Linked DNA regions of Canis lupus familiaris. The protein of the gene in region 2 interacts with the protein of the main gene of each other region in a pairwise test. Links are inferred from orthologs where the notes say so. Each region holds a gene or a part of one and is shown on either strand. Other genes may lie near its edges.

Region 1 (7,544 bases), on a different chromosome or scaffold from region 2:
TATTCTGTATGTTAGTAAATTGAACACCAATAAAAAATAAATTAAAAAAAAAAAAGAAAAGACTGGATAAATAAAACTACAGGGTTTTAGGACATGATGAGAAACAGTTTCCAAATCATTAATAATGAATCATAAGCTATAAAGCAGTTACAAAATGTGCCACCTTAACAGAACAGTATGTTCTGATACATACAGGATATATCCAGTGCCCTTAAAACAGAATATTTTAACAAAGGGGGCTAATGGCAAATGCCAGTGAATTATGTGTGAGCAGGTTAAAGTAGAACATGCTGAGAATCTTCACTGTGCTAGTGCTGAAGGGTCCTGTAAAATGAAGCTAACAGGGATTTGTAATTTTCATTGTCCTGGAGTTTTCACAGGAGTCAATTAATGATCTTTTGATGGGAAAGTGTAGGATAATGTGGAGTACCAAAAGACTGTTCATTGGTGTGATCTATTTGAAACTTCACTAAAAGATGATTTTGAAGCCACAGGCTTATGTGAGGCTAAAAGAGCTATTATGTTAGGTAAGTTTGGAGCTCTGCCTAAGAAAAGAAGGCTCACAGCTCAGCTTATTTTTATCATCCTCCTGGGGACAACTATTTCATTTGGCCTCCAAAATACAGTGCTACTCCAAATACAAAACATAATTGTTTCATGAGAGATTCTGATCCACCATGCAAGAATTATATTGGCATTTCAATTTTATTATTTTATCAAAGATGCTAATCAAAAAAATCAAAGATTTTTAACACTATCTCAGAATTCTGTTAAAAAAAAAAAAAAATTAGGGCAGCCCTGGTGGCTCAGTGGTTTAGTGCCACCGTCAGCCCTGGGCATGATCCTGGAGACCTGGGATGGAGTCCCAAGTCGGGCTCCCTGCATGCGGCCTGCTTCTCCCTCTGCCGGTGTCTCACCCTCTCTCTGTGTGTCTCTCATGAATAAATAAATAAAACCTTTAAAAAATATATTTAGGGGCACCTGGGTGCTCAGTCAGTTAAGTATCTGACTCCTGATTTTTAGCTGAGGTCATGATCTTGGGGTCATGGCATGGAGCCCTGCATCAGGCTCTGCACTGGGCATGGAGCCTGCTTACAATTCTTTCTCCCGCTCAAAAAAAAAAAAGAAAAAAAATGTAGAAGAATGGATGAAAATTGCATCCCAATGTCATATCTAAGTAAGCATAATCCTATTTTCTAATAATGAAGAATTTTATTTCCAGATACAGAATATCTCTAAACACCTTAACATGGAGTTCTTGAAAGGGTGAGGGACACACCACTTCCAGGATTAAGTGAGTATACTTGAGACAGAATGGTTACCAGTTAACAGATGACTATAGTTCACTGATAATCCAGAAATCAGATACTAATAATGATGACACTAATATCAGTAATAAAGTTATGTCCTAGAAAGAGAAAGAATGTTCTCTAGGGAATTTGGAGAAAAACAGTTTTATGCTGCCCGAAGAATTAGCAGTCAGACATGTTAAAGGTCCTAGCAGAATGTTCAATAAACTCTTGTTAAATAACTGAAAGTCTCATTTTGATGTTATTGCGACAAGGTAAATAACCAAAGAGAAAAAGATAATCCAGAACTTCTGCAAGAAAGAAATTCCAAAGCCAATTCAAGGGCAATTTTCATTCAACACTGTAATTTATACCGTATGTATCTACAGCTATGTCTCTCAAGTCACTTTAACTGGTATTCATAATTCAAATTCACCAGTCCTCAAAAGATAGTTCATCACTATTCAGTATATTCAGTTGAAGAATACAGAGGGGTCTTTTTTTTTTTTAAGATTTTATTTATTCATGAGAAACACACACACACACACACACACAGAGAGAGAGAGAGGCAGAGATGGAGGCAGAGGAAGAAGCAAGCTCCATGCAAGGAGCTCGATGCAGGACTCGATCCCGGGACTCCAGGATCACGCCCTGGGCCAAAGGCAGGTACTAAACCGCTGAGCCACCCAGGGATCCCCTACAGAGGGGTCTTAAAACTATTTTTTTTTTCTTAAAAGAATGCATAAGGGAATAGATATCAAGAAGTAAAACAACGGTAAAAAAAATTTTTTTTAAGATTTTATTTATTAATTCATGAAAGACACAGAGAGAGAGGAAGAGACATAGGCAGAAGGAGAAGCAGGCTCCATGCAGGGAGCCCGATGTGGGACTTGATCCCCCCTGAGCCAAAGGCAAGACGCTCAACCTCTGGGCCACCCAGGCATCCCTAAATTTTTTTAGTGAAATAAAATGTGCTCATTGCTTCCAGTGTTCCAAAGAACTGGAGTTTTCCTAAAATGTTATCTAACTCTTCTTAGCAATTTTCATGTGTTTAAATCTAGATTCCTCATGTAACTTTCCAAGTCTCTTGAAGGAAAATACCACCATGCTTTTTCTTCTTTGCACTCCCTGTAGGCTAACACCCAAGTGTTTTGCACATAAAAGATGTTATACAACTACTGGTTGATTATGATAAAGCAATCATTTTTCCTTCTGGTACCTGTGACTCTTTGAATGCTAAATTAAACATGTCTTACATGACATTAGGATTATTATTCCCAGATAAAGCTCAGAGCCTTAGTCAGAGTCAGGAGCTACAATCTAGTTCCAGTTCCCACTCATCTGTCCCTAAGACCCTGGACAGGTTATCTACTCTCTTCGGGCTTCCGTTTCCTATCCCCCAAAGGAAGGGGATTGTTTCACCTGGCGTTTACTAGCTTTAAAATGTTTATAATTGTATCTAACAGTCAGAATTCCTGCCCATTAAGCCAAAACACAAGTCTAATATAACTAGGATTTTAAAAATCACAATAATAAAACTAGTAATGGTTTATTTTGCATCACCCTTTTATTACGATCACATAATTCTCCTGGATCTCACAATTTCTTTTTTAACATTACTTCCATAGGACCATGTTACTTCCATAATTACCTCCATATGACCCTTTGGCAAGAGTGAATGACAAACCTTATTTCATCATCCTCATTTTACAAAGGTTCTGAAGCTGGTAAAAGCACGAGTGCAAGGTCACTGTACAAGTCAGAGAAGACACGGGAAACTGCCATTCGGTGTCCAACCACCTCTGTCTCCCAGGACAGCGGACAGGCCCTATCCACATTCAGAATGATGCTAATGCTTTAGGAGATGACCACACACACGCGCCCCCACACACACGCAAACTTCATCCCACCTAGCCATCAACCCAAGCACCTGTACGATCAGATTCTGGGGGACAGAGAAGGCCTCTCCTGCCGCTCTCCCGCACCCACCCCCTTCCCGGGACCTTACCTGCTTGTACCTGGCATACAGGTACAAGAGCTGCTCCCGGCTGGCCACCTGAACCAGGCCCTGGAGGTGCGCGGCAGCCTGCTCAAAGAGCTCTGCCAGGCTCCCGGACGCCTCGGTCTCGGGGCTCTGGCGGGGTTCCACATCGCCGGAGTCGTCCCCCGAGCTCAGCTCTCCGCCGCTGTCGCCCGTGGTGGCCCCCGCGGTCAGGAATGGCGAGGCCATGCGTCCTCGCTCGCCCCGCGCCTCCGCGCCCGCGCCGTGCGTCCCAGGCCGCGCGCAACGCCGGCTCGGGGGGCCTGGCCCACCCGCCTCGGGCCCGAGCCCGACCTCGAGTCGGACCCACGCTCACTCGCTCGCGCGGCCTCCCGTAACTCCGCCCGCCTCCCACTTCTCTCCGGGCGTGCAGGGCAGGCCCCGCTACTCTCGGCGGCTCGCCCGGCCCACCCGGTCTCCCGCGGCTTCCTCCGGCCGGCACCGCGCTCGGGCTCGACCCGGGGCCCCTCACCGGCGAGGGGGTCTCCCGGCGGCGCAGCTGAGAGATCCGGAAGGGAGGGCGGGGGGCGGGGCGGGGGCGGGGGCGGGGCCACGTGCGCGTGCGCGCGGGGGCGGGGCGGGCGGAGCCCCGCGCGCGCCTGAGCACGTGTCCGAGCACGCGCGCGCCCGAGCGCGCGCCCCGAGCACACGTCCGAGCACGTGTCCGAGCACGCGCGCGCCGAGCGCGCGCCCGAGCACACGTCCGAGCACGTGTCCGAGCACGCGCGCGGGGCGAGGCGCGGCGGCGGCGGCGGCGGCGGCGGCGGCGGCGGCGGCGGCGGCGGCGGCGGCGGCGGCGGCGGGCTCTGCGCGGGGTGCGCCCACGTCCGGCTACCGGGCACTCGCGGGGCCACGCTACGGAGCTGCAGCTCGGAGAGACTCTCCTCAGCCGTTGGGACGTCTGTTCGTCGTTGCACCAAAATGACTATTCAGAGTCAGGAAACCGTTCCGGGAATAGGCCCTCGGGGCGGGGACGGTGGCCCCCGGGTGCTAGTGTGGCGGTAGGAGCGGAGTCGCGGGAAACACGGAGCCGAGGACGAAGGTTCCGCCTGCGCCCGCCTCGGCGGGTCGTGTGGCCCGGGCGCCCCCAACCTGGCCTCGGACCCCTGCGCGCGCATCTGTTGCTCGGGAGCTTGGCTCGGACTTGAATAACGGGTGAAAACCCGGGAGGCGGGGCTTTCCGCGCGGAAGCCGCCTGGTTGGCTGTCCTCCCCTTCCTCGGGGCGGGGCGGGGCGGGGCGGGGTCGCCCGGGGTCGCCCCCCGCTTCCCCCCAGCCGGGCCCCGCTAGCCCCGGGCTCCTGGGACCGAGCCTCGGCTGTCGTGTTTTGCAGACGCTGAAGTGAAACAGTACGAGACCGCTGTGCCCTAAAGGAACTGAACACAAAACTACACAAAACCTGCGACATGATTATAACAATCAACTTGTACTTAGGGGTTATTACGCCCCAAGTGTTGTAAAGCAAAAACGGAAACACTGTGTGTGCATTTGGTACTCAGAACGGCGTAATGAGCACCATCAAGATTGGTGCAAAGAAGGAGTTCTAAAGAGTGGTTGCCGGGCGTGTGACACAGGTGGACAGGGCAGGAGGAAAGGCCAGACGCTGGGAGAGCTGCCGTCAGGACTCCACAAGCCTTCCTCGAGGTTCTGGAGTCTGCCCCTGTTTGCTCTCCAGGCGCTCACGATCCAATCAAGGGATGGCTGATGGACAAATTCTTGTAATTAAAATGCAGTGATAATAATGACTCACTGAAGCCGTTCATGTGTAAGGGACTTAATCCCGACTACTAATGATAGGTACAGTTATTTGCACTGTGTACGGAGGAAATCACAGAGTGGTTGAGCAACTTGCCCAAGGCTGCACAGCTAATAAATAGAGAAGGAAAAATTCAAACTCATCCGTTGTTTTAGGCAGGGGTTAGTCTGTCTATGGTGTAATTACAGACCATGAACCTGAAAAGTAGAATGAAGAGAAGATGCAGGGACCTTTGTATTTCTCTGTTTCTAGAATTTTTACTAGAAACGTGAATTTAATATTATGGACAGCTTTTTAGGCCGTTTATATGTTTTTGTCCTTTAACCTTTTGATTTTTTTTTTTTATTTATGATAGAGAGAGAGAGGCAGAGACACAGGCAGAGGGAGAAGCAGGCTCCATGCACCGGGAGCCCGACGTGGGATTCGATCCCGGGTCTCCAGGATCAAGCCCTGGGCCAAAGGCAGGCGCCAAACCGCTGCGCCACCCAGGGATCCCCTCCTTTAACCTTTTAAAGGAATTATTAATAAAATTTCTCTTGTAATGAACTATATTAACAATATTATTAAGTTAATAGGAATTTAATGAATTATATTTATAATTGAAATTGATAAGTTAACATACATTTTAATACATTAATAGATTTCCTAATTTTAAGTGATGCTTCTCTTCCTGAATAAACCCATTCTGGTCCCGGTCTTGCCTTTTTTTTCATATCTGTGGATTCTGTTTGCTGACGGTAGTATCTTTACATCCCTAATTAAAGAGGGCATTAACCAATAATATTCCTTTTTTTTCCCTATCCTTTCTCAATTTTGTATCAGGGTAGTAGTATCCTTGTAGAAAATATTTAGAAAAAAAATATTTAAAAAGTTTCTTTTTCTGTATTCAGCAACAGTTTAGATAACATGAGAATGAAGCAAGCAGAATTCTCTTATGAACAGAAGTATACAGCAATTCTACTTTTATCTGGTGAGAATGCATACATGTGTTCACTAAAAGCATGTACAGGAACATTCATGGCAGCACTGTTTCTATTTCTATTTTCCCAAACTGGAAACTCCCAGAAGTCCACCAACAGTAGAATAAATATAGTGTGTTTACATAATGGAGTACCATTCAGCAGCAAGAATGAATTAGTTACAATTACAACACATGAATGAATCTCTTAAACATAGAACCCAGAAAGCCTGATACAAAAGAACTCCTATGTTTCCATTCACATAAAGCTCAAAATCAGGCAAAACTATTCTGTGGTATTAAAACCCAGGAGGGCGCAGTCAATTGTACTGGGTGGCTCAGTCAATTAAGCATCTGATTCTTGATTTCAGCTCAGGATATGATCTCAGGATCCTGAGATCCAGCCATTGTTAAGCCCAAGGTGGAGGTCCAAGCTCAGTGGGGAGTCCGCTTGGGGTTTTCTCTTTCCCTCTCCCTCTACCCCTCCCCCTGCTCATATTCTCTCTCTCTCTCTCTCTCTCTCTTTTAAGATTTTACCCATCCATTCATGAGAGACAGAGAGAGAGAGAGAGAGGCAGAGACACAGGCAGAGGGAGAAGCAGGCTCCATGCAGGGAGCCTGACATGAAACTCTGAGCCTGGGTCTCCAGGATCATGCCCTGGGCTGAAGGTGGCACTAAACCGCTGAGCCACCTGGGCTGCTCTCTCTATCTCTCTCTCAAATAAATAAATGAATCTTTTATTTTAAAGCCACCAGAGTGCATAGTCTTGAGTGAAACACTGGTTACACAGGCATGTTGACTTTATGAAAGTTCACTTTTATACTTTTGGGGACACCTGAGTGGCTCAGTTGGTTAAGCATCTGCCTTCAGCTCAGGTCATGATTCCCGGGGTCCTGGGATTAAGCCCCAAATTGAGTTCCCTCTCAGCAGGGAACCTGCTTCTCTCTCCCCTTACCCCAGTTGTGCTTTCTCTCCCCTTACCCCAGTTGTGCTTTCTCTATCTCCCTCTCTCTCCCTCTCAAATAAAGAAATAAAACTTTTAGGGGCAACAGGGTGACTCAGTTGGTTAAGTGTCTGCTTTTAACCCATGTTGGGCTCCCTGCTCAGTGGGGAGTCTGCTTCTCCCTCTCTCTCTGCCCCTCCTCCTGCTGGTACTCTCTCTCTCTCAAATAAATAAAATCTTTTTTAAAATTATACTTTTCAAAAAAATAAAAAATTATACTTTTCTATATGTGCATTATATTTCAATAAAAATATTAAAAAATAGCACATGAAAAAGGAAGACAAGAGCCCCTGACATTCCAAAGCTGGCTGGACACTCACGGCTAAGCCATATTATTGTCCTATTAGAAATAATCTCATGGAATCCCAACCTCGGACAAGGTCATTGTAAAACCATGATAAGACAAGGCAAAGCACTTTATGAATCTGTCTAAACCACAGACAAAAACAAGATCACTCTGTCCTACAAAATATCAAACACCCTTTCTTTTGGCCAAA
Region 2 (6,801 bases):
TATGAGCTACAGCTATCCTCTTTTGCTGTTCACAGTCCAATTTTTAAAAATTAAATCAACCTTATTTTTTAGAGCAGTTTTAGATTTAGTAAAACAAAGCAGAAATGAGAGTTCCCTTAGACCCCTCCCTCCCTATACAACCTCCCCCACTATGAACAATCTGAGTAAGTCGCTTTTAAAAGCCCACTGTAACTGCAATTCTTGGAAAAGCAACACAACGAAACTGACACGGACAAGCTTTAACAGGCACCTGTCATAAATCCGAATGTTGGCGGGGATGGCACTTATGAACCCTACTAGCTTCTTGTTCGAAGACACTCTGACCCCACAGTGCCACTGAAGGAGCCAGCCTGGGGGACGCAGCGCCCTGAGGTCAACGCAGGCAAGGAAGACAGGTGCAGGTTAGTGTCCAGGAACCCAGGGAGAGCCCAAGGCACGCCACCCTGCCACTGCCCGCACCCGGGGCGCCCCCTGCCCCGCCCCCCCCCGCCCCCCCCCCCCCCCCCCCCCCCCCCCCCCCGGCGTCCAGCCAGACTCACCACAGCAGGAACTCGGGTGAGTAGTCAAACCGGAACACGCTCTCCTCGTCTTCCACGTAATTCTCATTTAACAGCGTGTACAACTCCTTGAGCTACAAGACCAAGCAAGTGTCCTGTCTACAGTGCTCGCCACCCACTCGGAAGCAATTTGTGCGATGGCAGGTGTCGAACCAAGGAGCGTTACTCACCACGTCGGCGTTGCCCAAGTCTAGGGTGTCCCACATAAAACCCTGGGGCAGGGAATAGGGCTCCTGGCGCACGTGGTCTTTATCGGCTTCAATCGCCCCGTGGGACGTGATGACTTCATCTGCGGAGGGGCAGAGGAGAGAAAGAACGAACATCCAACTATAGTGTATTACGATGGCCAAAGTGGTCCGTTACAGAGAACGACATCATTTCTAGGGCCCTGGGGTTTCACCACTGTTTCAGCTCCTTCTGGAGTGAGACGGGTAGTGGAGAGGAGCTGCCATCTCACCAATTAGAGGGAGAAATCCTTCCTCCTGCAATGACAGGGTGTGTACTACGACATGCCAGGGACAGCCTCAACCCCTAAGTGACAGATCCATGGCGCTGCACCACAGTGGACAGTGTGGGTCTGATGACCGCCTGGAGATGGGCTCTCTTCTTACTCTGCATTTCAAACACCTGGGGGTAGGGGGTGACAAGGTGACCTCTGACCCCACCCCGCAAAACCTAGAACTTCTCTCCACAGGGGCTGCTGGCAGTCCAGCTGAAAACATCAGCATCTCGTGGTTTTCACGAGGGTGCCCTTTCCAGATCCTTCCCCACTGCCTCCCAGTGTGACTGGGATAGAACCCAGGCCCTGCCTGGCCTTGTTCTCCAGGTTCATTCTCACTGGCCCCAGCTCATGGCATCTGGGGGTTCCCTCTTCTCTCAGAGCCCCTCCCCCGCTCTCCATGTGGTGGGCCGCTTGAGGGTTTGCAGACAGAAGCTTACACATCACTTTCCCACAGTATCCTTCCCTGACTTAAGCTTTTTCCTACCTGGAGGAGGCCCTCCCTCCATCCCCGCCTGGCCACTGTCTTCATCCTACTTTCCTACTTTCCCATCGCTGTTCCCCTGGCACACTCCCCAGAGCCTGGCATTTAACAACAGATACTCAACACTGATCTGCTATTACTCAGCCATAAAAAAGAATGAAGTCTTGCCATTGGTGACCACATGGATGGACCTTGAAGACAGTACAGGAAGTGAAATAAGTCAGAGAGAGAAAGATAAATACTGTATGAGTTCACTTACATGTGGAATCTAAAAAAACAAAAATTCTGAATTCCTAGACACAGAGAACAGACTGGCAGTTGGCAGGGGGCAGGGGTGGGAGCGTGAAATGAGTGAAGAGGGTCAAAAGGCAGAAACTTTCAGTTATAAAGCAAGTAAGTTCAGGGGATGCAAACACAGCATGATGATTATAGTTAATAATACTGCATTGCATATTTGAAAGCTGCTAAGACAGGAGATCTTAAAAGTCCTTATTACAAGAAAAAAAAATCTGTAACTAGGTGTGGTGAGGGATGGTTAGTAGACCTCCCGTGGGGGTCATTTGACAATGTACACAAATGTGGTATCATTCTGTTTGACCCCTGAAGCTAATATGTTGCTAAACGACAATGACACCCCAAAGGATAAATAAACAGAACCAGGAGGAAAAAAGGAACAGGTATCTGCTGAATAAATGACCTTCAGGTACAGGTTCTTGGTGGAAGCCACAAGGTCTGCAACAGCTCCGAGGGGTTTCGTTTTCTCTTTCTTTCTTCCCCCTGACTTTGTCACTTCCCCTGAAGCAGAAGTTCACTGCCCCTCCACCAGCTCGCTGGTGAGCCAGATTCTTAGCTGTTCCCTTGGAGTTCCTTTCAGGAGATCCCCTCAGAGCCTGGCTACCCACCGGACATTGGGGACAACAGTGGGGGTGGGGTGGGGGTGGGGGGCTGCCTCTGCTGCCACCAACCTTGATGCTGCCTTAACTGAGATGCAAACCAGGTGTTCCCCCTGGAACTAGGGGAATCCCACAGGGATTTAGGGAGGGGGCGCCAAAATGTGACGCATGCCCCCTATCTTCCCAAAGACATGTGTTGGTGCCAGCCGGGCTTTCCTGCCCCAGGGGCAGTGACCTAAAAGCCACCAGCAGCTTGCCAAGCATGTGCAGCTAAACCTAATACATCGGATCAATCAACCCTACATCCCTTTAGCTCACTCAATTCAACAGCATTTTAAACCCTGTAAATTCATGCTGGAGTCTCCCTCCACTACCGAACACACGTATTTCTAGAGCCTGAAAGAAGAGACAAGTGAGGATAAGTGTTTTCCTCTATCTTTCACACTCCTAAGCCCGTGTTTTTTGAAGATGCGTGGGGTGGACATGGCTGGGTGAGGCCTGGTAACTTTGAAAAGTTTGAAAACCATCATTTGAGGGCACAGACAAGGATCGTTTCCTGATTTTTATGTGATAAAACTGATAATTTGTACATGGCTGGACTATTATTACAAGGTCTGGATGACAATCCTTCATCTTACACGTTCTGGAACCCAAACAATCAAGGAGGAAGAACAGCCAGACAGAGAAATAATTATCATATATCTTCATATGAGGATAACAGAAAGCAGCAGATTTTAGCTTTTAATACAGTTATAAACATTTTAGTGCATTTACGGCATCATTTTTTATTGCAACAAGGGAAGAGTTAAATGATGCTTACGGAAACTTATGAGGCAAGAGTCTGAGTGGAACGTGAGGGACCAGGCCAAGTGCGAAGGGGAGAGGGGAGAGGCCTGATGCCCAGACATCCCTGCACAGAGGAGCCCCCAGGGTGCTCCCAAGGGGCCCCCAAGGTCCCTACTGAACCGCAGCTGTTCTCGAGCTGCTAGGAATTAACACCAGCAGTGAGCCTGCAGAATCCTATTGTTAAGCTGCGCCAAAATTTTCCATTTCAATAAGATTTAGCAGGGCAAATTTCCTGTATCTTTGAAATAAATCAGATGTGAGACTGCTATAAATTTATGCACAGGAAAAACAATTCTATGAAGCTCAGGACCAAGAAAGGTTCTGAGACTCTGTCTTTTATATATATTTTTAATACAATAATGTTTCAAGAGGGAGAAACTGGATTTTTTTAATAGAAAGAGGAATGAAACTCTAAAGTTGTTTCTACCGAAAGCCAATGTCACTACCCAATATTTATATATTTTTTTCCAATATTTATATTTTAAGAAGAAAAACAGGACTTTTGTGTACATTGCTAATCTGCGGTATAAAACAAATTATGTAAGTTAAGTTTCTTTTGTGTTTTTTGTTTGTTTGTTGCTAACCCAGCTGTTTTTTTTGGAGGAGGAGGGAGGCAGAAAAGCTTACTTAATTTGGGTACCGGCTGTGTGTCCCAAAACTGGTATCTGTGTTTGGCAGCCTCATCAATGTTCCTGGCAGGGCCCTGGCATGCGGACAACAGCTCCATTGCTCTCTGGATATCCTGCAACTTCTGCATTGGAATGGTGGGATTCTACAACAGCAAAGACACACAGACACGAAAATGAGGAAGCTGCCACCACTCCCAAACCTGGGGCAGATACACGTGCATCCACCTTGGAGACTACAACACTGAAACACCAACAATCTTCCTCTAGCCTGGTCAGGACCTCGGACTCAAGAATGCTAACATAGTAAAACAGAAGCAAACACAGTATGTTAAAGGTAACAACAACTCAGTGGTTTTAATGAGGCTTTGATATAGGTTTTGAGCAATCTGAAGCAAAGCCAACCACCCGGGGCTGCAGGGTCCCACCCATTTGCAGAGGGTCCTCTCCCGCACTAGCCGAGGACTGACATGCATGCATGCATTACTACCAGGTGGCAGCCAGTCAGGCACACCCTTGGTTTCACTGTTGAGGTTAATGCCCTGTAGTAGCAATGTGAGGACAGAGGAAAGAACGAGCTAGAATGGAAATAAGGCAGACGAAGGAAATTTTAGTTCATTAAAAAGAAGAAAGAAAAGAAAAGAAAGAAAAGGAAAGGAAAGGAAAAAAGAAAGAAATGTGAATGAGTGCTGAGCTGAGCTGGGAAGGAAGTTAATCAAGAAAGAAAATCTCTAAGTATGCCTTCCTCCTGGACCACACCCTGCCTCTTCCAGCCCAGATGCTTCTCCAGAGACAAATCTTCCAACTAGAACAAGCAGTTTCTTCCGTTGAGTTTAGATTTTTTGGCAACCACAGCCTGTTTTCCCTACCCTGAGTGTTGGAAATTAACTTTTTTAAGTAAAACATATTCTCAGTCTGGAAAACTGATGATACCTTTCGATTCTCAAGTTCCTTCCTCCAAGCCAATATCCCTCTTATCTCTGCAGATTCTTCAGCTCTTTTTTTCTTTTTCTTTCTTTCTTTTTTTTTTTTTTTTTGGAAAAGTCCCTCAAATGGAAAGTGGGACTACCATACTTGAACTGAGAGAGTAGCACTCAGGGCCGGATTGGAAAATCACAGAGTTTTTTCAGTACACGAAATTATTATTTTAGTATTTTGATGCCATGCAAAGAATGCCCTCCACTGAAGTTCAGAGGTGGTTAACAAGAACTTCAGAGCCCCCCGGTTTTCCTGTATGTCAACATCCCACAGCTATCAAGGAAAGGTATCACCGACCCTGCCGGTTTATTGACAGTAGTTCTGGACTTCTGTTCAACCTTGAATCTGATGTCTGTGGTCTGGAGTCTATCCTTTAACTTGGGAAACTTTACCCATTTGACACAGTACAAAACAGGGCTTATTTCATACAGACCGCCCTGTGTTTGCTCTATCGTTGGGTTTGCTTAGGATCCTTGCCACTAAAATGATTCAAGGATACAAAATGCTGGAGTCTAATCAGAGATGTGTTCATTGTCTTACTGTCTCCATTTATGAGTCTAACAGCATCACCCAGGAGGGTCATAATTTTCTAAGACATTTCTCTTATATTTCCATAGAGGTCTAAGTCATAGAGGTATGGTTTCAGCTACATATATTGACATAACAAAATACTTTCACTGTTCCCATTTATTGTATTTTTAGATTTCTCTTGCTCTGGTCTCCTCTGAACCTCCAACATAAGAGTTACTGAATACCAGCAAAATAAAATTTATATCCATCTGAACCCTTAACAAGGCAATGCATTAGAAGACCTACAACGTAAACAGGAACTCTGAATATAGTGTATTTCAGTTAGTAACACTTGAACATGCACCCATTTATCTTTAAAAAGACAAATCTGAACCTACAATGCTTGCACTGAATTTGTTATGGGACAAACAGCATGTTTTCCTTCCTAATGCTGGAGTTAAATTCTTGATCACAAATATACTAAACTCAAGCTATTCTGCGACTAGCATGAATCGGCATCCTTGTTCCAAAGGAGCCAACTTTGTTCCAAAGGATATCCCAACTCCATGAGTGGTTTCAGAGTGGTTTCAACTCCACCTAATTAGCCTCACCAGACTGACGAGCAGTCTTGACATAAAATGACCATTCATGATAGATTTGTATCTGAACGCTCACTATTTTAAGTGCTTTCTTGAAGTGGATACAAGTAAGCACAGTTTTCAAATCCATGGTGACAAAGCAGCAAAGGAAAATTCAGCTACGATACGTTCTCAAACCTATCCATTCACCTTCCACAGCAGCACCGCCTGGGGAGAAATGAATTAATGTTAGGGAAGGTGAGAAGCGGATCAACCCCATGTTAGCTTCCCGCCACTGAATCCCTACGTCAGGCACACCTCTTTCCCTCAGTGGAATACTAAACTCCAATTGTACTCTTTACCCTTTATTAACTTTTATATTTAATATCTTGGAAAATGTCCAAGTCCTCCACCACTAAGAAGTCTAAAAAATCCAGACAAGTATTATTGGACTCCGGTAGTTGAGTGCAGAACAGAGTGTCTTCTAAACACAAACCACTGTGATCTACAGTGTTATCTAGAGCTAGCATCTAGGGAAGGGAAAGAAGCTCCAGTTTTAAAAAATGCAGTGGAGGGGCGCCAGGGAGGCTCAGTCGGTTAAGCGTCTGCCTTTGGCTCAGGTCACGATCCTGGGGTCCTGGGATCGAGTCCTGTATTGGGCTCCCTGCTCAGTGGATAGCCTGCTTCTCCCTCTGCCTCCTCCCCTTTGCGATTTTCATGCTCTATCTCTCTCCCTCTCTCAAATAAATAAATGAATAAATAAATAATGCACCAGAGAAAGGCCTACATTAAAACAATTCTGATTTACTGTAATTAAAAAAGAAAATTTC

What was found. The genes of interacting proteins can lie anywhere in the genome.
Region 1: the proteins of NMT2 (region 2) and ACBD6 interact in binary tests that used the Homo sapiens proteins (3 or more experiments, as listed by UniProt). The link is inferred for Canis lupus familiaris from reciprocal best matches to the Homo sapiens genes NMT2 and ACBD6.

Annotation. Positions count from the first base shown.
Region 1 is NC_049228.1:13,909,075-13,916,618, forward strand, and holds the start of ACBD6 (acyl-CoA-binding domain-containing protein 6), read right to left. Parts: upstream 3,845-7,544; 5' UTR 3,520-3,844; coding exon 3,298-3,519; intron 1-3,297. UniProt on the Homo sapiens protein: Binds long-chain acyl-coenzyme A molecules with a strong preference for unsaturated C18:1-CoA, lower affinity for unsaturated C20:4-CoA, and very weak affinity for saturated C16:0-CoA. Does not bind fatty acids. Plays a role in protein N-myristoylation.
Region 2 is NC_049223.1:20,545,537-20,552,337, reverse strand, and holds part of NMT2 (glycylpeptide N-tetradecanoyltransferase 2), read right to left. Parts: intron 6,200-6,801; exon of another isoform or gene 6,123-6,199; coding exon of another isoform or gene 6,069-6,122; intron 4,052-6,068; coding exon 3,907-4,051; intron 847-3,906; coding exon 728-846; intron 632-727; coding exon 540-631; intron 368-539; coding exon 251-367; intron 1-250.